3 linked regions of the Arabidopsis thaliana genome follow. The protein of the gene in region 1 interacts with the protein of each later gene in a pairwise test. Each region holds a gene or a part of one and is shown in the gene's direction. Other genes may lie near its edges.

Region 1 (7,586 bases):
ATATTAATTGATCTTATCATTATTGTATATAAAAGAATTAATCATGAGTTTGGTCATGAGTTCGATGAAGTGATGGAGAGTTAAGAGTAGATTGTTTAAAACTGAAAGAGACCGGTGAGCTCTTCATGTTGTTTTTAACTCCACTTGCATTTGTTCTATAGCTTTTAATTTTGGGGTTCCTCTCATTCTTATTTTCTGTTTTCTTCTACTTAAAATAAAATATCTTTCACCATTTATTTTCTATATTACTTTGAAGTTCGGTCCTTGTATATAGCTGAACATTGTGAGGTCACATATAACGAAAAGGACAAGATATGCTTGTCCCTCAAAATCTAGACTCTTTTTTCTCATCTTTCATATTTATTATCTTTATTATTTATTACTGGCCCAAACATTTCATCATATTTCTTTTCAGAAAAATAAACAAGGAGGGAATTTGCATACATATGTGTATATAAGAGTGGAGGAGTTGAATCCAAGAAATGGATGTGAGGGCAAGAAAGTGAGAGATATGGTCCCCTCAACAAAAGCCATTAAATCTCTGAGCATATGACTGTGACTTTAATGGCAAAGCAAAGAGGTTTGCAATTGCATGATTCAATGAAGAGTTGCTGTTAGGGTTTGGGAGATTTGTGGGCTTTTAAGTGCATGTTTTTTTGTGGGGTTCAAGTGCCATTCATGGGACCCAATTACATTTTTTTTAGATTTGTTTTACTTTTCTTTGTAACCATGTTTTTAGATATGCATTTACAATATGTTTTTTTTTTCTTCCCTTTTTTATGAGATTTAAAAGTATTATATTATGACACAAGTATGTTACACTGGTTAGGACTTAGCTTTAGACAAAAAAAAATCAGAGTCCGAGATTTTATATAGATTTCGTCTTTTTAATCAAAAAAGTTCTGATATATAACCTAAAAAGACTACGTAGTATGATCTAAGAGATTTGACAAAATTTGGTTGTAGAAAGTCCGATATTAAGCATTCTCATCAATTTCCCTTAAATATTTTTCTAAAATATTAGAGGAATACAAAAAAACATTCTCATTAACTATATAATTTTAATAACAGTTAAAACTTTCATATTTGCATGCCAAGGCTCTCTGATGAGTTTAAATGTTAAATCGCATGTGTAGGTTTAAACAGAGTTTATTGTTTGTGGAAAAATAAAAGAGACGTGGACTCGTCATGTGAAGTCCAAAATCTGCAAAATTATGTATGTAAATTAATGTACTTTGGGACCAGCATTCGTATGGACATTATTACCATAGTTGAATTTACTTCCCTTTCTTACAATAAGCTTTTGATTACTCATATATACCTCACACATGTTATGTGAATCGGTAAATTCATACTATATGTGAGGAAGTCACTTACAACAGTTGGATTTTAAAGGGAATCCGTCTGAAAAAAATTTGGAGAAAAAAAGAAATTGTTTTGCTTACATAATTTAATTTAAAAATTATAAATAACAATACTTTTATAAGAGAATAGTTTATCTGTTGACCAAAAAAAAAGGAATAGTTTATCTATCCACAAATGGATGATCCATATTGGAGTATATAGAACGATAAGAGATGATTCGATACGTACTAAATGAAAACTTTGAATACTGTGTATAGTAAGCAATCAGCATTAGTTTACAAGATCTTAGTTTTCGTAGGATTAGTTTAGACTGTTTAGTAATTTGATTCCAACCATTGTACAGGAGAAAATTTTTACCGCTCAAAACAACTAACTGAACGTCATACTTAATTGGGAATTTGGGAGTCGTCAAAGAAATGAAAAAGGTCAGATTAATTTATGGATTAATGAGTTTTATAGTCCTTATTCCAGCTTGACATTAGCAACATATACATTATTTGTGTGACATAATCAGGGAATATATATAATCAAAATTAATGGGATTTAAAATTTAATTATTCTTACAAAATATCAAAAAATTTAGTGTAGACGAACAAAAAGAGAATACATATATATATATAGTTCATTTGAAGAAGACGTGTATATGATCGATCCGAGTTGATAAGTATTAACAGATTACATACATATTGATAAGATGATGTGATCTCATCGATTAAGGTTCAATCTTTTAAATTGGTTAACTATCTGGTGATGACATGTCAACTAGTCGATTATGAGCATCATTAATGATCATGAACATGGACCACCTCTCTCTCTCTGTAAGATTATCTTTGCATCAAAGAGACAAAACATCCAAGAGACTAAAAGTATGGTCCTTGAGAGAGAAGAAGTCTCTTTAATTAGGTCTTTCTATTTCTCTCTCTCTCTATTAGTAGTAAAATCCATGTACTTATACGTAGACATAATAACCAAATAGGTCCGTGATGTTAAAGAGTACACACCTAACTTCACCTTGCTAATGATCTCTTACCTACAAACTCTCACTGTTTTTAGTTCATCTCATTACTCACTGTGACCCCATTTCATCTGCTTACGACCAATTTGGTAAGCTTTTTGTCTTAGTTTCAACATTTGCAGGAATCACTTTAAGAAACAACTAACTAAAAAGGAGATAACTTTGAAAAAGGAGGATTGATGGGTTTGTTTTTGATGAGATGGATATTTGTATATGTATGTCTAATGAGAGATATATTGCGTAGGGGAAGTGAATGTAGATTAGAGGTCTCCCTATATATTGATTGATTTTATCCGGCTATTTTTACCTACCGCGACACACGGTATAGATTCATAGTAAGCTACAATTTAAACACAAGATAAATCTGTAATCATATAGTATAGTACTATGCTTCCATATATACCCCATATTTACGTCTCCTATGCTTCCATACGCTAATTAGTTTTTTTTTTTTTCCAACCATAATTGCAGGTTTATATAAACATGAACTAACGAAAAAAATAAAATATAAACATGCACCATGGAGTCAATTTTAAAATTCTATGAGGTTTGATTTTCAAAAGGAAAAATCTAATATACTAATGAAAAAATTGAGATCATAAAAAAACTAATGAAGAAGTAGATTTATTTATTTTGAAAAATATGTACAAGTGAAATGTGGATCATTCTTTAGCTATATATATATAGGTGGATAAACGTAAAATCACGCACGCGGCCATGCTGCAGGGGTTAAATAGCAATTATGTATTTACCTTAAAAAGAATTTGGGAACCTCTCTTTAAATTAATGCAAAACCTCATCTCTTGTCTTTCTGTCTCTGAAACAGTCAACCTCATTCTTCTCAAACTCACTCTCCCTGATCTCTCTCTTCCATGGACGAAACCAACGGACGAAGAGAAACTCACGATTTCATGAACGTCAACGTTGAATCCTTCTCTCAGCTTCCTTTCATCCGCCGTACTCCTCCCAAAGAAAAAGCCGCCATTATTCGTCTCTTCGGCCAAGAGCTCGTCGGTGATAACTCCGACAACTTATCCGCAGAACCTTCTGATCATCAAACCACTACCAAGAACGATGAGAGCTCTGAGAATATCAAGGACAAAGACAAAGAAAAAGATAAGGACAAAGACAAAGATAACAACAACAACAGGAGATTCGAGTGTCACTACTGCTTCAGAAACTTCCCAACTTCTCAAGCCCTAGGTGGACATCAAAACGCTCACAAACGTGAACGTCAACACGCCAAACGCGGTTCCATGACATCATACCTTCATCATCATCAGCCTCATGACCCTCACCACATCTACGGCTTCCTCAACAACCACCACCACCGTCACTATCCGTCTTGGACGACGGAAGCTAGATCATACTACGGCGGAGGGGGACATCAAACGCCGTCGTACTACTCAAGGAATACTCTTGCTCCTCCTTCTTCTAACCCACCGACAATCAACGGAAGTCCTTTAGGTTTGTGGCGTGTACCGCCTTCCACGTCAACAAATACTATTCAAGGCGTTTACTCATCTTCACCAGCTTCAGCGTTTAGGTCGCATGAGCAAGAGACTAATAAGGAGCCTAATAACTGGCCGTACAGATTGATGAAACCCAATGTGCAAGATCATGTGAGTCTCGATCTTCATCTCTGACTTCTTTTATTTTATTTTTTTATCATCCATCATTGCTGTGATATATGAGACTCGCTGATCGGTGAAGCCAATTCTTTTGAGAGTGTTGGAGACTGAAAAAAAGAAAAAGAAAACGAGAACCGGTTTGGTGTGTAGATCATCTTGAACCTTTTTGAGGTTTTCACATTCTGAGTTTATATTAATAAAGGGAATAATATTTTGGTTAATTAGTAAAATTCGTTCATCCGTTTAATTTCCTCTCACGTGTGTGTGAATGTGAATGATATAATTATCGTTTTTTTTGTTTGATTTCATCTGTTCATTTGTGAGTTCTGTTATGGCTTCCTTCAAGACTCTCTATAACTTTCAGAGAAAGAGGAACATTAATTTAAGGGCCATGGAAGTCACACGTACTTTCTCTCTGTTGTTGCAGTCGAGATATTTAAAGTCTTAACCATTAAAAACCCCAGAAGACTCTTTAGATACAAAATGCTTAGGGTCTCTGTCTAATTAAAACGGTCTTTTACCGAATCAAGAGGCAACGAAGGATGGGTAAATGCAGATGTTGATGATGATTCGGTGACTGTGGGGATCACTGAAGACAATGGACAAGACAAAAGGGGAGAGAGAGAGAGAGAGTTGAGAAGTGAAAGTGGTCCATGATTACAAGTGTAGAGTTAGCCAAAGATAGAGCTTTCACATCTTTCTCAACACACAGAACCTAAAGCTAAAGCCTTTCCTCAAAAGCTTTCTTCTTTAGTTTCTTTTCTAACCTTTTTTTGGGCAGTTCAAAGAGAATCATCAACTACAAGCTGTCTACCATATTTCCTTGTTCATCTCTCTCTCTCTCTCCCCATATACCACAATGCTCAAAATATAATAAGAAAATAAAAATACTGGTTACAAGCCACGGCACATGACCATGTTTCTTCTTATTGCCTCCAGTGAACAGACTTTGAATGAAGTCCATATGCCCCAAGGCCTACAAGAATCACAATCGTATATCTCAGAAGAAGCAATGATATCAATCCTCGTACCTAACATATGACCTTCAATGTCTTAACACTAACCAAACATTAAAGACAACCATATTTATATAGCTACGACTTTCGGCATAGACCAAGATATTCAAATGCTTGACTTTTCCAGTTTTGGCAAGACTTCAATCACATATATATGTGGCATTGCCTCACACTACAAATATACTACAATAAGAACTCAAGATGGTTACAGATATATAAAGCCTATTTGCTTTAGAATTACCAGCTGTGATACTAACCAATATATAAAAGTTAAACGACAGCTAATCTTACTCTATCAAGTCTATAATTCCAAAAGAACAACTTTGGATACTCTTGAGGTAAAAGTATGCAGGTTATAAGTACTGAGATTGAACAGAAGGAATACTTTTCCTTCTCTAGTTATATATGTCGTGAAACGTTGTAGCATGATTGCTAATGTGTACCTAATCAACTAACATTATGCAAGGAGTACGTCTTAATATTATCCTAAAGCTTTCAAACAAATCTCAGCACATTATTGTGATAACAGGTTGCAGAAAGTGACATTGCAAAACTTCTGACCTTAAGTCTTTAGTCGCGGAACAGGACAGTCGCTGTCTATATTACGGGGAAGGACCAAACGGTGCAAACTCAGCCTGTCAATCAAAAGGATGAGAGATAAGGTTTTCTAGACAAGTCTTATGCAACAAACTATTGCAATAAGGATGCATATCAAAATCACATGGGAACAAAAAACCAAACGAAAAAGAAGAAGAAGACATATCTGCCCTCCTTGGAACAGTTATTTGGATACAAACTGCAGAGGTTAAACCAGAGAGCACAGTACCTTTGAGAATTACGTGATGGTTTTATCAAATTATGGAAAATTTAAGGATACTCAGTGAATGAATGCTGTCAAAGAGTTAACATCAAGAGCAGCTATAAAAGGACCCACTAGTTAATGCAATGGAGAAGGAAGCATGTGATGAACAACATGATAAAAGAAGCACATAATAAAGACGTGTGAAGAGCATACACATTATATAACCTTAGGACCACTTTCTCTGCTCTCTTGTTTTTTTTTAGATATGTAAAAGGGACTAGTGGAATTTAAGGAACATCGGCCCACAACCCTAGGAAAGTTGCAACTTGAGGATGATAGTTCGAACAGTACACATCTCAAACCCCTTAAGAAATAAAACTCACTCAATCTCATTTACACAACAGTGCAACCTGCCAAAACGGTCTCATTTTTGTGACCAAAGCTACATATATAAAGTTCCACCGACCCTATAGACCATGTGGTTCAATCCTTGGGAGTTGGGACTATGGCTTCTTACACAACTAATTTTCAACATCTACTTGCTTGCTACCATTGCTACCATCACTCAGAATCTCCGATCTTGTTGTCAGAATTCAAGACAAACATATCAAAAGTCATAGCAATGGATTCATATGAAAAGGTAGCCATTGAGAAGACATGGTTCATGTAGTTCCATGACTGCTTGTAAAATAGATCAGGAGGATATTGTGTAAGCAGTATAATATATTCAAGAATCAAATACCATGGCATTATCAGTAGAGAGGACCTAAAAGACATTATATTTGGTATAACTATGTTGAGAAATTAACATTATAGATGTGGTTCTCAAGAATGTGACTTGGAAAGGTAACCGAGAAAACAAAATAGAAGAAGAGATCGTGAAATAAGCTGGCTCAGCTAGAGGAGTGGAATAGATTCTCATTTATCTGTGCATGACTTCATTTTACCTCTTCTTTCTGAGTTCGAGAGAGATGAGCTTCTTCGATACGCCGGGTTAGCATAGAAATTCCATAATGTGAAGCACTTGAAGATGCATAATACGAGGTAACTGTCAGCTGAGCAAACTTTGGAAGTGCATAACCTAGCAAGCATTGTACACAAACAAAAGTTCAGGTGCTTTCTTCAAAGTAAACATACAGATGTATCTACATATATACCAGGTACATCAAACAAAAGACTACGTGCACAAAGCTACTAACATACCCACTACCACCTGGCATTTGAAAGTTTTAAACAGATAAGAGGAAAGCCAATTCTCTTGATGGTAAACCATTAATGTAAGTAATTCACCTAAAGGTAAAAGTTGCAATTCTACACTGTGCAGCACACCTTGATTCGTATTCTAACCATACTATTGGAAAACTTATCGCGGCTTGTAAACTTTCTTGCATTAAAAAGCTACAAGTACAAAAGATGCTAACAGAACTACATAAGTTCAAAACACAAAATAAAGAGGTTCAAAACACAATGAGAAGGCCATTCACAAAAATTCAGGACAAATCACAGACAGTTAATCACTAACGCAGGATATATACGAAACAAATATTCAGGCACAAGAGAAGCGAGTGAGCCAAAAACGATTAGGTTACCTCCAAAAGCAGCCCCTACACCTGAATATACTAGAAGCAATGGAACCTATAAGGAAAAGCAATAATTGAGAAGTACATAAAATTCATACAAGGTAATGTCAACAGAAAAGAGGAAACAGGAAGAATTCCAGAACTAGTAGGTAAGGCAAGAGAAAATACATACCCCCA
Region 2 (8,409 bases), 460 kb from region 1:
GAGTAGGTAAAGTTGTGGATCTCTTTGTTTCTTGCTAATTCAAATTGATTAAGGTTCCTGGGTTTGATCGGCTCTAGCTAGGGGTTTATGGTACTCGTTATATAATTCACTGAATTTAGGGTTCAAGGGTTCTGATTGATCTGCAGTGACCTTTTTGATTGACAGATGGAAGCTCTGTCTTCTCTTACGTTCAAGGGTTCTCTTCCAGAAGCCATATTTGAAGCCAAAGGGAAGAAGAAGCTTTTTGTTGTCTACATTTCTGGTAAATTAATGGAATTTTATTTCTCTCTTGTTGGAATTCGAATATGAGTGGGATAGTGTTAGGAGATTTGTTTCTCCTGTAGTATCTCATCTGAATACGATTTCTGATCATACAAGAATATGGCCTTTTAAGAAAAAGTTTCAACATTGAAGAGAGCCATAATCATATTGTGAGCTCAATCTCAAAAAATTTAAATTTGTTTCCAAATTTTAGGAGAGGATGAAGAGTCGGATAAGTTGAACAGATTGACTTGGACTGATGCATCGGTAGGTTTCTCTTGTTTTTATACTTTTCATTCTCTTCCTCTATTGTTGAAAATGCAAACAAGGCTATTTTTCACTCATATCATTATCGTATGTTTCCTTATAAAGGTGGCAGATTCGTTGTCGAAGTATTGTATTTTAGTGCATATCCAAGCTGGAAGTGTTGACGCCACAAACTTCTCTGCAATATGTATCCTTTCTTTTTATCAGAGAACTTAAGATAGCTGATCTAGTCGAAAGCTGTTTCTATGGATTTTATAGAGAATGCTTCGTTTCAACAGACTTTCTATAGAATCTGTCTTGTAGGCTTGTAATAAGTTTTAACTCACGTGTGAATGCAATAGGGATCTTTACATCAGTTTCTAGACCCATATTCATCTGTTCCTTGTATAGCTGCCATTGGATTCAGTGGTACACAAGTTTGGAGAACCGGTAAGACCATATGTACTTTAGATTTTAAGTATTTACACGTTATAGTCAAGCAAACGTACTCAAGTTTGTTTTCTATCCCTTTCTATCTTTCAGAAGGATTTATCACTGCTGAAGACCTTGCATCCAGTTTAGAGAAAGCGTGGTTAGGACTTCATATCCAGGTACGTGATAGCTGCTTTCTCACTTATGGTGGTGTTCGTCCTTCTATACATTTTCAGTTGACTTTTCTCATTTTCAGGAAACAACTGCAAGTATCTTTTCAGCAGCACTTGCATCACAGAACTCAGAGACACCTGTTTCTAGTGCTTCGAGTGTTGTCTTGCCTCCCGGAAGTGTTCCTTTAGATGCAGCGGTTGCATCTCCATCGACGGCTTCTAGTGTTCAACCCTCAGAGACAAAGTCAACGGTAACATCTGCATCAACAACAGAAAACAATGATGGCACAGTTGCAGTTAAGGTTGTCCCTGGAGCTGAAATCATTTCCACATTACTTTAGTTTGTTGTTTTGCTTACATGATGCAGCCTTTTTTTAAAACAGGGCAAAGAATCTGCTGAACCCAGTAATTTGTGTGATACTACTAAAAACCAGCCAGCACCCTCTGTTGATGGAACTAAGGCCAATGTTGAACATGAAGCGACAGAGACCCCTTTGCGTGTTCAGGCAGAAAAGGAGCCAATTCGTCCTACAGCCCCAGGAACAAATGATAATACATCCAGGGTTCGATCTTCTGTTGATAGAAAAAGGAAACAGGGAACTGTGATAAATGAAGAGGATAGTGGTGTAGGTGTTAGTGGAAGGGACATTAATCTAACAAAATCTGTCGATACAAAAGAGACCATGAAGCCAAAGGATGAAGGAGGAGAGGAAGAGGATGGAGAAAAATCCAAAAAAGCATCTGACGTTCATTTAAACATTCGATTACCTGATGGTAGTAGCCTTCAGGAGAAGTTTTCTGTGACAAGTATATTGAGAATGGTCAAGGATTATGTGAACAGTAATCAAACAATCGGACTGGGTGCTTATGATCTTGCGGTTCCTTACCCACGTAAGGTGTATACTGACCAAGGTACGTAAAATCTACAATGCATCCAATAGATTTTTATTTTTATTTGGTAAAGAACATTTTACCTTAAAACCAGCTTCATCTTGATCGAAGATGATGTTTTCTGCCATTTAGGTTTTTTTTTTTTTTTTTTCTGGTCAGTTTGGACTAGTGTAGTAGATACATAACTCCATTACTCTTAATCTCTGCAGATCTGGATAAGTCTCTATCCGAGTTGAGATTGTTCGATAGACAAGCACTTGTAGTAGTTCCGCGAAAAAGAGCAACCGTCTATCAAAGAGGAACATCTTACTCGGAGTCTAACAACAACACAGACCCTAATAGTGGCGGTTACTTTGCTTATGTTAGAAGAGTACTGTCTTATGCAAACCCGTTTTCATATTTTGGCGGTGGTACTGCCAACGCATCAAGCTCTGTTCCAGAACGTCAAACAAGTATGCGGGAATATGATGAGTTTATAAAATCCATTCTAATGCAGAAAGTCGTGTAATTGCTAATCTGATTCTCTCTTTTTCTATCTATAGGACCAAATACGGAGGTGAGAAACAATCTGGGGCAAGTAGGGACGTCCTTTCAAGATCCATCAGAAGGTAGGAGCAACGTTAGGAATAGGAGACCAACCACTTCTCGGATTGGAAGTAACATCCATACGTTGAATCACAATGAAGATGAGGCTCCGTTTGGTGATGGAAACGCTTTTTGGAACGGAAACTCCACACAGTACGGTGGTGGAAGCGGTGGAGACAGTAATGATAGACGATGAAATAAGAGAAGTTGAAATCTGTGTGGATAGATACAGAAACAGCTCGGGTGTTTACTTTTTATACTTGACTCTTTATGAACCATTTAAGAGACCAGCTGCAAAATGTATCCTGATGCGTTTCCGTTTTTTCGGTTGCTCGTATTAAATTTAAATCTAAAAAAACTAGCAATTTCTGTTTGATTAAATTCGGTTCTAGAAATTAATTAGTGTCGTTTGATTAACTTCGGTTCCAATCATAACAAAAATATTAGAGTTAAATGGTTGCTTAAATATAAGAATCTGTATATTCTTTTCTATGCAAGTGAAGACTTCATTGAACTGTGAAAAGGCGTTCACTGACAGCTTCTTGTTCTCCTAGCGGTTTCCCTTGTGCTCATCCTCACACCTTCCAAAATATTATCAACTCGGATAACAAAACATATATATGTGATCAACCAGACAATTTTTTAATATATATTTCTATAGTCAACGATGAGTACGCATTTTAATAATCCGGTGAAAGATTAGTCGGACTAACTAAATAATTTTTTTGACATATAATAAACACTTGGACCCCCCAAATTGAGCCTTAAGAAAAGACTAAACCAGTTCTATTAGTTGCGTACAACTAACGATGATCAACTTGAGTGATTTATATCGGAGATCGTGGGTAGTGATACGGGTCAACAATATAAGGATTTAGAGATCAATTAGGAATTGAAGTTAAACCTTTTCAATTTTCTTAAAGTTCCCTGATCCTTATTCATTCATCGTATCCACAACCATTCTTAACATTGCCCATGGCTAAGACGCTGGACCTCTTTTGGCACGAACATCCTTTATATGAAAAATATCGTATGTTCACTTGCCAAGAGTGCCATAGGAGTGCTATACCCTTCTTTGAAGTTTTTTATGGATGCTTCAGATGCAATATAAAATGGCATCCCTATTGCGTGCCAAGGTCAACGAAGAATATTAACCACCCTTGTCACCCGAACCATCCCCTAGAGGTTCTCCTCCAAGGGCCACCTAGTTACTCTGACGAGAAGTGCAGCCTCTGTCAACGGAAACTCTCCAACTTCGTTTACCATTGTAAGTTATGCAATTTCAGCATAGATATGGAATGCGGAAACAGGCCCCCGCCCCACAAAGTGGATCATCCAAAGTGCCACGAGCATGCACTCACCCTCATGGGAAGGGAAGTATCCTTCACTTGCAATGCTTGTGGTACGCATGGTGAACGGAACCCTTATGTATGCCTACCATGCTCTGTCATGTTTCATTATGATTGTATTGATCTACCACACGTCATCAACATCAATCGTCATGATCATCGCATTTCACATTCATATCCTCTCAAACGTGGGAATTGGGTATGTGAAATCTGTCGTCAAGATATCAACACCACGTACGGAGGCTATTCATGCAACAAATGTCCAGATTTTTTTGTTCATTCAAAATGTGCAACTAGAAAAGACGTGTGGGATGGGACCGAACTCGAAGGGATACCTGAGGAAGTAGTAGACGTTGCGCCATTTGAAGTGATCGAGGAAGGGGTAATTTATCATTTCTCCCACGAGAAACATAACTTATTCCTTATTGAGGATGTTTTTATAGATGGTGCTGAAGACATGCATTGTGAAGCTTGCGCCCGTCCAGTCTCTTCTGAGAAGCACTACAAGTGCGTGGAATGCAAGTTTATTCTTCACGAAGAGTGTGCGAATCTTCCTCTTACGAAACGACATGGACTTTCCACAGGTATATTTTATCTTCGCTTCGGGAAGGATTTTAGCGAACAAAATTTCAGTTGTGATGCTTGCAATAGAGATGGAAGGGGTTTTAGCTACAAGGATGAAGAGGGTGTGGTACTCGATGTGTTGTGTGCGTCTCTCTCTTTCTTCAAGCACCCCAAACTTCATCCTCACACGTTATTTCTAACCACAATAGATCGTGGTACTTGCTTAGCTTGCGGTGAGAATAAACTCAATGTGCTGCGTTGTGTTGATTGTGATTATTCTTTGGATTACAAATGCGCCACTCTACCATTAGTCATAAAGCATAGGTGTGATACACATTATTTAGTTTTGCGCTCTGGGGAGGAGGCGCCTGAAGGTAAATATTGGTGTGAAATCTGTGAAGCCGAAACCAATCCTGAAAGATGGTTCTATACATGCGATGATTGTGGGGTCGTGTGCCATATTGAATGCGTAACCGGGGACTTTTTGAACATAAAACCTGGAATAATAATGAAGAACAGGGAGAATAAGTTTGAAGTGGGTTTCAACGATCACGATTCTAGACCAAAATGCACTGATTGTGGCTCTCGTTGTAGGTTCCCTAGGTTTTTCAAGGTTACTAGAAAAAATATTGAGTACTACTATTGCTCAAAAGCTTGTTTTCAGAATGCGAAATTCTGAATGCCTGAAGGAAGGCGAAAGGAAGGATTTGGAAACATAAAAAGAATATGGGTTTTTACAGATGGAGGCTGTGTAATGTTTTTCAATTATTTTCAGATAAACTTGTTTTCTATATTTGGATTTATTGTTGGTTTGCTCATTCAGTTCATAAAACTATTTATGAGAAAGAGAGAAAGAGAGAGAGAGAGACTTTGAAGGTAATTATTCTTCACACCTTTTATTATAATTCACCAAAATTGGGATGTTTGTTCTATTCTTGATCACACGCCTCTCTGTCGCTTCCTTTTGACGTTTTCTTTCTTTTCTTAGCTTTTTCTTTTATCTTTTGTGTTTTCTGTCTTTTCTTTTCCGTAGTTATTTGGGATTCCAAATTTTTTTCATTCCTAAATTTCTCCACGAGCTCATCACCTCCTTTCGTCTCTGCCTCTCATTTGTCTACAAACATTTTTTCCTTTTGATTCGTCTCTCTGGTTTATTGCTCGTTGATCGTTTGTTTCTAAATTGCATTCTGATTTCTGATGGATCGTGATTTTCATCGTCGTGGTCAAGTGGTAAGCATTACACGCAAACACAGCTTTGATCATTAAAAATGTCATCTTATTTAAATCATGTCTTGAGATCACGTAATGGTCTTAGGTCAATCAAGATCAACGCGCAACAAATTCTAATGTTTTTACAAAATTTGAAAATACTTATCTACAAATGTATTTATAAAGAAACCTAATTTGCCTTTGTGTTGATCATGATAGACAATTGTTGTTATTAGCCTGTTGATTTGAAGGCAGAGTCCTCTGTTTTCCTGCAACATGTTAGAACAGCTCATTTATGTGTTTTGGTGAAAACGCAGGCGAATGATCGTACACAAAGCAACTTTGTTCGATTGGATAAACCGAGAGCTGTAGACGATCTTGATATAGGCAAGAGAGGGAAGATGCGTAGGTGGTTGTGCTGTTCTTGTCGTGTACAAGAATCTTACCCATCAGCTGAAAATAACCGATTGAAAACCCCTCCTACTCGCCATTACGACTATGGTATCGCTCTTTCTTCACCTTACTTGTGATTGAAGTAACCTATCAAATTTTATTCTTGGCCTCTTTTAGTTGCATTCCAAATGTGCTTTTGGTCCATTCCTAACCTTTCAATATCTTTTGCTTGTGTAGGACGTAACAACAAGAAAACACCAGCTCCTGTGAAGCCTCCTGTTTTGAAGGAGCCTCCGCCTATTGATGTCCCCGCAATGTCATTGGTTGAGCTCAAAGAAAAGACTCAGAATTTTGGATCAAAGGCATTGATTGGAGAAGGATCCTATGGAAGAGTGTACTACGCAAACTTTAATGATGGGAAGGCCGTGGCTGTGAAAAAGCTTGATAATGCATCTGAACCCGAAACAAATGTCGAGTTCTTGACTCAGGTCTCTAAAGTTTCGAGGCTGAAAAGTGACAATTTTGTTCAGCTTCTTGGTTATTGTGTAGAAGGGAACCTTCGTGTCCTTGCTTATGAGTTTGCCACAATGAGATCATTGCACGACATCTTACACGGTAAGAAAGATTTCTTTCTGCTCAAACATCAATATGGCTTAGGATGGAGATTGATAAACTTGATGCTAAACAGGGAGAAAGGGAGTGCAAGGAGCACAACCTGGTCCAACACTTGAGTGGATGCAACGAGTCCGAGTTGCGGTTGATGCAGCTAAAGGATTAGAATACTTACACGAGAAAGTTCAACCTGCGGTTATACACAGAGATATTCGATCTAGCAATGTGCTTATTTTCGAAGATTTCAAAGCCAAGATTGCTGACTTTAATCTTTCCAATCAAGCTCCTGATATGGCTGCTCGTCTTCATTCCACTAGAGTTTTGGGGACCTTCGGTTATCATGCACCAGAGTAAATATGCTTCAACATTGATAGCTCGGAATTTTCTTGATTCTTAGTAACTGAAAGAATGTAACTTTGGGTTTGCAGATATGCGATGACAGGACAGTTGACACAGAAGAGTGATGTTTACAGTTTTGGAGTTGTGCTTTTGGAACTTCTTACCGGGAGAAAACCGGTTGATCATACTATGCCTCGTGGTCAACAGAGTCTTGTCACTTGGGTACTTAACTTACTTAATTTGACTCTTTCTTTCTGAGACTACCAAATCTTTTCTTGGTTATAACTTTCTCTGTAAATCTAATATCCAGGCTACTCCAAGGCTGAGTGAAGACAAAGTGAAACAATGTGTTGATCCAAAACTCAAAGGAGAGTATCCTCCTAAAGCAGTGGCAAAGGTAATGAACAGAAACTTCCTAGTCATTTAAATAACTCTAGTGGACCCCACTTACAAGCTAAAATGTGTGTTTTGATGGTAAATACAGCTTGCAGCGGTTGCAGCGTTGTGTGTGCAATACGAAGCAGAGTTTAGGCCAAACATGAGCATTGTAGTAAAAGCTCTTCAACCGCTCTTGAGGTCAGCAACAGCTGCTGCTCCTCCAACACCTCAACCTTGATTCTTCTTTGTGGTTCTTGCTTACTGATTATCATGGCTTCAAGGTTTTGTCTTCACTTTATTCTTTCTATCTACCATGGAATGTAAATGGTTATTAAGGGGAGGTGGTGAGGAGCAATTGGGATTTCACTCCATGGAAATGATCTGTGTTAACTGCTTTTTGATGGGTTGATTCTTATGAAATATTCTATAACTTTTGTTTGTTCGTTTGAACATATAAGCTGACACTTCTCTTTTTTTAGGCAAATTCATGGGAAAATAGCTTGAATATACAGAAATTTATAACACCATGATTTTATAGTGTTAAAGAGTGTCACACAAACTTTGGACTAGAGTCACTCAGACACTAGACTAAGAATATTTCTGAGCTATTCAATTACTTTAAAATCACCTGTTAAGTTGAGTATGACAGTGTTTTGAATGGTTGTCCTCACTAGAAGTTGAAAAATCAGCAAGCAATTCAATTACCAGTGCACCAAACCCAGAGCCTCAGCTGCGCTTCTTTGACTATCTTCACTGCAACACATTCCAACAAACGTTTTCAGTAGAGACTGTCGCTCTTCAAGCTTCATGAGTTTCTCCAACCCTCTTGCAACCATTTCCATCTCAGCCTGAGGATTAGTAAACAAGAGAGGCAGTTTTGTGAAAACCATGGAAGAGATTTATGGAGAAAAAAATCTTCAACTTGTAAAGAAACAAAAGCACATACAGAGTACTCGTTGGGAGGAAATATGCGATGA
Region 3 (7,003 bases), on another chromosome or scaffold:
GAACTGGTGATAAGTCATTCGTTATGGATAAATAATGTATGTTGAAAATATATTTGTCCAATAGTTTCATAGACTAATTAAAGAAAAATGTGGCGTTATAGACTTATAGTCAACTATTCATGTTATATCATCTAAATATATATGACTGAAAATGCATTTTTAAGAATATCAAAACTGGTATTCTGTAAAGTTCATGCACCATCAGTATTTAAAATTGTATTCATTTTGGGTATTTCCTAGTAATTAGTAAGTATATCGAAAGTAAATAAAAAGGAAAATAAACAAAAGAAAACATAGAAAGTAAGAAACTGAAAACAACATAATTAAGGAAACAAAACACAATTTCTATCTATCATTAAGTCAGGATAAGAAAAAACAAGAATAAGTAGTAAAGCTGACTAAGACATAGCTGGAGTTTGTATGTACAATGACTCAAAATTTAACATTCTATATACAATGGTGTGTTTCCCTTTCTTTGTATTTGCAATTATCATATATATATATATTAGAGAAAATAAGTGAAAAATAACATCATTCCATATAATAGAAAATATAATCTTGTATTACTTAGCTTATTAATACATTTTTTTACATATCAATTAATATTTTTTACATATTAATTGCTATATGAAATAACATGAAGTTACCAGTTTGCAACGGTCGATATAACGAACTGAAGCGTAACATTTTTAAAAAAATTGAAATGAGTTAGTGTTTTTTTTAATTTACTTTTACACATAATGACGTATACTATAACAATTATAGATATATTTTAGCTAAGTAGATAAATTTTAGATTATACAAAGCCAGTTGGTATGCACACAAAATTATTATTTTGGAAGACAAAATGTATAAGATCACCATGGTTAGAAAAACAACCATATTTTCTATCTTTCATTGGAGTTATATATAACACATCATGTAAACAAAATCTAGTCAAATTTGAAATATATTAATTAAATTGGTGTATTTTTAACATATGAAGTATCATTTTAGAAAACAGAAAGAACAAAGTCAAGATAACTAGAGACACACGTACTTGAAATCATGAGTAAATAAATATTAGATTATACAAAGCCAGTTGGTACATAATGCACACCAAATTTTAATTTGGAAGACAATGTATAAATCAACATGGTTAGAAAAACAACCATAACTTTTAAAACTATGGATAATTATTCATAGTAGTTATATAACACATAACTTCATATAAACAAAATCTAGTCAAATTTGAAATATATTAATTAAATTGGTGTATATTTAAGAAAGAAAAAAAAAAGTCAAGATTGTTAAGAGGCACAACTATTTCTTTTAAACAAAAAACAATGAATTCAAAGTAGATTTACTGTTACAATTAATGCTATTTGCTCTTGGAGATTTTATACCTTAGCGAGTGCAACACAGTAATTAAATCTCTCAATATATACCATACGTCTCCGGAGAGAAGAAATCACTCACTTCTAATTCTCATCAAAGTTTTACAAAAAAAATGGAGAACCAATCTGTGTCTTCTTCAAGCTCCTCCACCACCCCAAAAAAACCTGATCAAAAACTCAAAAGTGCCGTTGTGACCGTGGAAGAGAAGGAGACAATGAACAATCCGGAACAAAGGCCCCCTCAAGAGGTTGTGTTTGAAAACACGATCCCTGACCCTGAGTTGCCTGTTTTCACATTAGAAGTTGTCCGAACGGAAAGAGATAACGAGCTAAAATATCCTCCAAAGGATAAAAATCTCGACTCGGTGCTTTCTGGTGGTACTTCTCTTCCGCCTTTCCAAAGCTTTCCAGTGCCCTCTTTCGGCCTCTTTGGTCCAGCGTATGGCGGTAGCAGCTCAACTAATGATATTAATCTGGATCTCACTCTTGGTCCATCTTCTTGGTCTAACACTAACCCATCTTCTTGGTCTAACACTGACCCATCGTTCTATCGAAAATTGTTCACTCCCGTGCTACCTTGTGTGCCTAGAAACAATTTTGTTGCTGGAAACCCGGTTGGTTCAAACACTAGGTATATTCCTCCGAATGGAAACAACAATGTTTGTCATGATTTTTTTTTTTTACAGGGGAATAGTTCGGCCTCTACTCACTCGAAAAGTCTCTTCTCAATGGGAAAGAACCAAGCCATGGTGCGTCATTTTGCTTTATCTTATCCAACCACCTATTATTGTTATGATTTGTTTTCTTTACAAGGGAATGGTTCGGGAAACTGGCCACTCAAGTCTCATCTCAAAGTGGGAAAAAAAGTCAGGGTGCCTCCTTTGGCTCCTCCCTATTGAAACAACAATCATGATTTTTTTTCTTTACAGGAGAATGGTTCGGGATCTAGTCACTCGAAAAGTCTCTTCTCAATGGAAAAGAACAAAGCCGTGGAGCCTCCTGTTGCTCCTCCTAATGGAACCACCGATCTTCTGTTTCCTTCACCCGAGAATGGTTCGGGCTCTAGTCACTTAAAAAGTCTCATCTCAAAGGGGGAAAACAAAGTCGTGGTGCCTGAAAATGATGATGATGATGATGATTATACTGATACTACTATCGGGAGGATAAGGTGGTTGAACAAGAAAAAAAGATCAAGACCAGAGTAGTAATTTATCTATGTCCCTTTGATTTTTCAGTTTTCTATTGAGGCTTATGTTCACCTCTCTTTTTTTTTTCATGCAATTGTTTCTTCGTTTCGTTTCAAATAATCTCTGTTGTTTCGATTAATTCATCAGTCCCTTTTGTTCAATTCCTATATCTCATGATTGCTCTAAAATTCCTGCAATTTTCAGAATTCATGGCCCAATTATTCGTAAGCAAACGTTATTTTTTCAAAAGGTTAAAGAGGTTAAAGAGACATTAAAGAGACAAAATGTATAAAATCACCATAGTTAGAAAAACAACCATATTTTTAAGAATATAGATAACTCATAGTAGTCATACGTAACGCATATGAAGAATATTGATTATATTGTTGTGTTTTTATCTTATGAAGTATCATTTTCTAGAAAGAAATTAAAGAATAAAGTGAATGACAGTTGTAGTCTTGGAGAAACAATTATTGCTTTTAAACAAAATTAAGTAGTTTTACGGTATCAATTAATATTTGTTACCCTTGGAGATTATATACCTTAACGAGTTAAATACAATAATTACTATCCTCTCAATAAATATCGCCTCTAAGCAAAGAGATAAGACATCACTCACTTCTAACTGTCAGCAAAGTTTTACAAAACAAATTATGAACAACCAATCTATGTCTTCTTCAAGCTCCTCCTCCCCACACAAACATGATCAAAAACTCAAAAGTGCCCTTGTGGCCGTGGAGGAGAAGGAGACAATAAACAATCCGAAACAAAGGTCTCCTCAAGAGATTGTGTCTGAAAGGACAAACCTTGAGATGCCTAGTTTCAGATTAAGTTTTTTCCGAAAGAAAAGAGATACCGTGCTAATACATCCTCCCAAGGATAACAAGATCAGCCACACCTGTCGTTTCTGCAAGAGGAATTTCAAAAGCTGTTTTGCCCTAGGCGGTCACATGAAGTGCCACAAAAAGGAACGAGAATTGGAGAAGCAGCGAAAGATAATCGAGGATGCGATGCTTTGTGATAGTACTCCTTTCACCTTGCAAAGGCTTCCTGTTGGCCCTTGTAAGTATGGCCAAGGTGGTAGCTCACATGCTTTATCAACTGATGGTATTAATCTTGATCTAACTCTTGGTCCATCCAAGTCCACAGGAGGCAGCAACAATAGCACTAATAACAACACTAACTCATCGTTCCATGGGAATCTAATGACTCCCGTGGGTCCTTGTGTGCCTAGATACAGTTTGGTTGCTGGAAACCAGGTTGATTCAAGCAATATACATGTTCCTGCTTATCCAACCACCGATCTTTGTTATGATTTTTTTGCTTTACAAGAGCATGGTTCGGGCTCTAGTCACTCAAAAAGTCTCATCTCAAAGGGGAAAAACAAAGTCATGGTGCCTGAAGATGATGAGGATATCGGGATGATAAGGTGGTTGCCCAAGAAAAAAAGATCAAGAGGAGAGTAGTAATTTATCTATGTCCCTTTGTGTTTTTCAGTTTTCTGTTTTCTATTGAGGCCTATGTTCACCTCTTCTTTTTTTCATGCAATTGTTTTTCTCTTTTTGTTTCTTTGTTGTCTTTTTGATGATTTTGATGTTTCGATTAATTCATCAAATCCCTTTTTCAATTCCTACATTTCATGATTGTTCTTAAATTTTTGAGATTTTCAGAAGTCATTTTCGTAAGCGAACTTAATTTTTTCAAAGGTTAGAGAGAATCTGCAATTTGCTTAAAAACATTAGTTAAAGAGACATTATCTCTTCATTGACAATTTGTTAGCCTTGGAAAATTGAAAAAAAAAAATAAGAGGCAGAAAGAAGGTCTATCTGATCTTCTATTGTTGTAATTGTAACCTCACAAAAAAAAAAAAAAAAAAAAAAAAAAAAAAAAAAAAAAGAGGCAGTGGTTTCCTTTTGACGATTAGGGTTTCGCTGGTTCCAGTTTGCCCGGTTTTCTTCCTTGACCCAGATCCGATTTACTAGATTGTATTACAAATGTAATCATCTTTCAGGATATTTGTAACAAAAAGATACAACTGTTATCCAATAAAACTGTTATTTTTTTTATGTATTAATATAATCTTGTAATCCTAGTAAGAATTTATAAAACTTAAAAACCTGTAAGGCTGTAACTGATGTTTGCATCTCCATTCTCCAAAGATCTTTTCTATTGAACAAAAATCAAAACTATTTTTGTTTCTCTTGTTCAAGAGAAATCTCCTTTTAAAGATAATTTCCTGAAGACATTTATTCCATAGTATGAAGATCGAGGTCTAGAAGTTGATAGTATTGAAAATTGTCTATTGGATCAACTGGATTGTTTTCTCAAACAAATGAAAGTCAATATTGAAAAACACAAGTGCTTTTTCTTCCAAGCAGGAGATTGATAATTTTGCATTTGGAGCTTGTGCAGATCATTTATATATTAATTTAAGTTCGTGAAGATTTAGGTTTATGGTTGTAGATACCTCACACAAAGCTTACATAGTAGTTACATAGGAATAATACCGAACATCGTCGCTTCATTTGAGATGTTGGGTTGATAGACCCAACAATAAAATCATCCTAAAAGAAGTAAGCTACGTACTTATTATTTATAAAGGCTTGTCCTCCTCCCTTCCTTAAAGCCAAAGCCAACTCTTTAAGTCTCGCTCTCACTGCTTCTGGCGAAAGCTCAAGTTGAGGATGACCTCTCAGAAAATCATCGCTTCCATTTCCATATTCCTCAGATTCAATCTTCTTAAAGCACATATACAATAGCAAAACGGAATCTAGAATTTTATATTATAAAAATGTTGCCACGATTTTTACCAATATCTTATTCAATGTCGACCAAATTAACTATTGAAACCCTAATATCACTGCTTTTATGGAAGTTTGTTTTTCTTGTTCAATCATCGTGGTCTAGAAGTTGATAGCATTGAGAGTTGCTATATGATGAAACTTTATAGTTTTTGCTAGACAATGAGAGTCAATATTGAATACATGAGGAATATGAATACTTCTCAACTTGCAAATTTGTATTTTTACTTCGCAAATTAACAATCTTTTATGAAATTTTAAACAAGTTTTTTGAAAACATCAACATAGATGGAAAATCTGACTAGGAATTTCACAGAAATATGTAAAATCGATTTCTAAGTTCTTGTTGTTAGTTTTAGATGTTATATATTAATGTTCAGGAGATAACGTCATCAAGCGGGGATAGCTCAGTTGGGAGAGCGTCAGACTGAAGATCTGAAGGTCGCGTGTTCGATCCACGCTCACCGCATTTTTCTTTTTGTTTTTGAAATTTTATTTCTCGTTGCAAAACCAAACGACGCCGTATAAATATAAAAGAACAAATTGACTTGGAGCGACGTTGCTTCGTTAGAACGTTAGGTCGCACGTGTAATTGACTTCTCTAAGAATCAAATTCATTGGGTTTCAGAAAAAAAAAGTTATAAACTTTCCATAGAGAATAATACAAGGTCGAAAAATGACAAATTCTTAATTCTTTACATGAAATTTAATATTTCTGAAATTATAATACTTGGTTCACGTATAAAATCATCCATAGATAAGTAATAACACCGTCCATGCATGAACCAATATTATAAGATTCTAACAGGTAACAGATTACATATAACACATGCTCAACAAAATGGCATAGTCATATTTATGAGGACCGAGAAATGTGGATCACTCTGCTTTCTTTGTAACAATTTAGAACTTCGTTCATACATGATACATATCGAAATCTACAATGTCTATAATTTTTTTTTTCTTGACATATATATGTATTTACCGTTGTATAAAACATTAAATATCTGGATTTATGATACAGTTTGTTGTCATTACAAAATTAATCTTAAAACGATACCTTAAACTGGAGAAATAGTCATACTTTAATTTTACTTTGAAACGAAGTCAACGAAGGTTAAGTAAAATTGTTAATGGTGTCACCGCGAAGTTCGTCCAAAGGCACACAGTCTCCAACATGTATCTCAATAATTAATTAACATAATAGCCCCTTTATTAAGCAAGGATTTGACTTTTCACCACTATAAATTCACAATCAACAATTCTCATTATCATCAAAACAAACCAACTTTCCTTCTCTAATCAAAACAAGAAAGACACAAAGATGGAGATCTCAAAAACCCTTTTGCTAGTGATTTCTCTGGTGGCTGCAACTTGTTTCTTGCAAGCCAAGGCAGCTGGAGTTTATTGTAGTAACCCTTACACTCGATGTTACCGCAAGTACATTAGGTGTCCAGAGGAATGTCCAAGCAAAACCGCTATGAACTCCAAGAACAAAGTGTGCTACGCCGATTGCGATAGACCCACTTGCAAATCCCAATGCCGCAGTAAGAATTTTTTCGATTCCTATAATCATAAAGCTTTCACATATGTTTTGTGCATTTTCAAGTAAAGATGATGTTATTGTACAGTGAGGAAA

Evidence for each region. Proteins that work in one complex are often made in the same cells at the same time.
Region 2: the proteins of ZFP8 (region 1) and AT2G43220 interact in a two-hybrid assay, tested with the Arabidopsis thaliana proteins (one large-scale study listed by BioGRID).
Region 3: the proteins of ZFP8 (region 1) and AT5G54360 interact in a two-hybrid assay, tested with the Arabidopsis thaliana proteins (one large-scale study listed by BioGRID).

What each region holds. Positions count from the first base shown.
Region 1 is NC_003071.7:17,504,304-17,511,889, forward strand, and holds ZFP8 (zinc finger protein 8), read left to right. Parts: upstream 1-3,039; 5' UTR 3,040-3,252; coding exon 3,253-4,026; 3' UTR 4,027-4,313; downstream 4,314-7,586. Other genes in the region: AT2G41945 (uncharacterized protein), read right to left, coding at 5,630-5,662, 6,777-6,910, 6,987-7,006, 7,120-7,213, 7,419-7,464, 7,582-7,586. UniProt on the Arabidopsis thaliana protein: Probable transcription factor required for the initiation of inflorescence trichomes in response to gibberellin and cytokinin. Is not involved in the regulation of trichome branching. Is functionally equivalent to GIS2.
Region 2 is NC_003071.7:17,960,777-17,969,185, forward strand, and holds AT2G43220 (Cysteine/Histidine-rich C1 domain family protein), read left to right. Parts: upstream 1-3,442; 5' UTR 3,443-3,563; coding exon 3,564-5,180; 3' UTR 5,181-5,435; downstream 5,436-8,409. Other genes in the region: AT2G43210 (Ubiquitin-like superfamily protein), read left to right, coding at 166-262, 476-528, 634-715, 892-957, 1,051-1,118, 1,196-1,414, 1,496-2,024, 2,213-2,455 and 1 more; AT2G43230 (Protein kinase superfamily protein), read left to right, coding at 5,699-5,731, 5,817-5,884, 5,994-6,211, 6,341-6,718, 6,792-7,065, 7,144-7,276, 7,365-7,451, 7,539-7,670; AT2G43235 (phosphoribosylformylglycinamidine synthase), read right to left, coding at 8,134-8,280, 8,379-8,409.
Region 3 is NC_003076.8:22,068,646-22,075,648, forward strand, and holds AT5G54360 (C2H2-like zinc finger protein), read left to right. Parts: upstream 1-3,216; coding exon 3,217-4,029; downstream 4,030-7,003. Other genes in the region: AT5G54350 (C2H2-type zinc finger protein), read left to right, coding at 1,490-2,275; AT5G54370 (Late embryogenesis abundant (LEA) protein-like protein), read left to right, coding at 6,689-6,911, 6,996-7,003.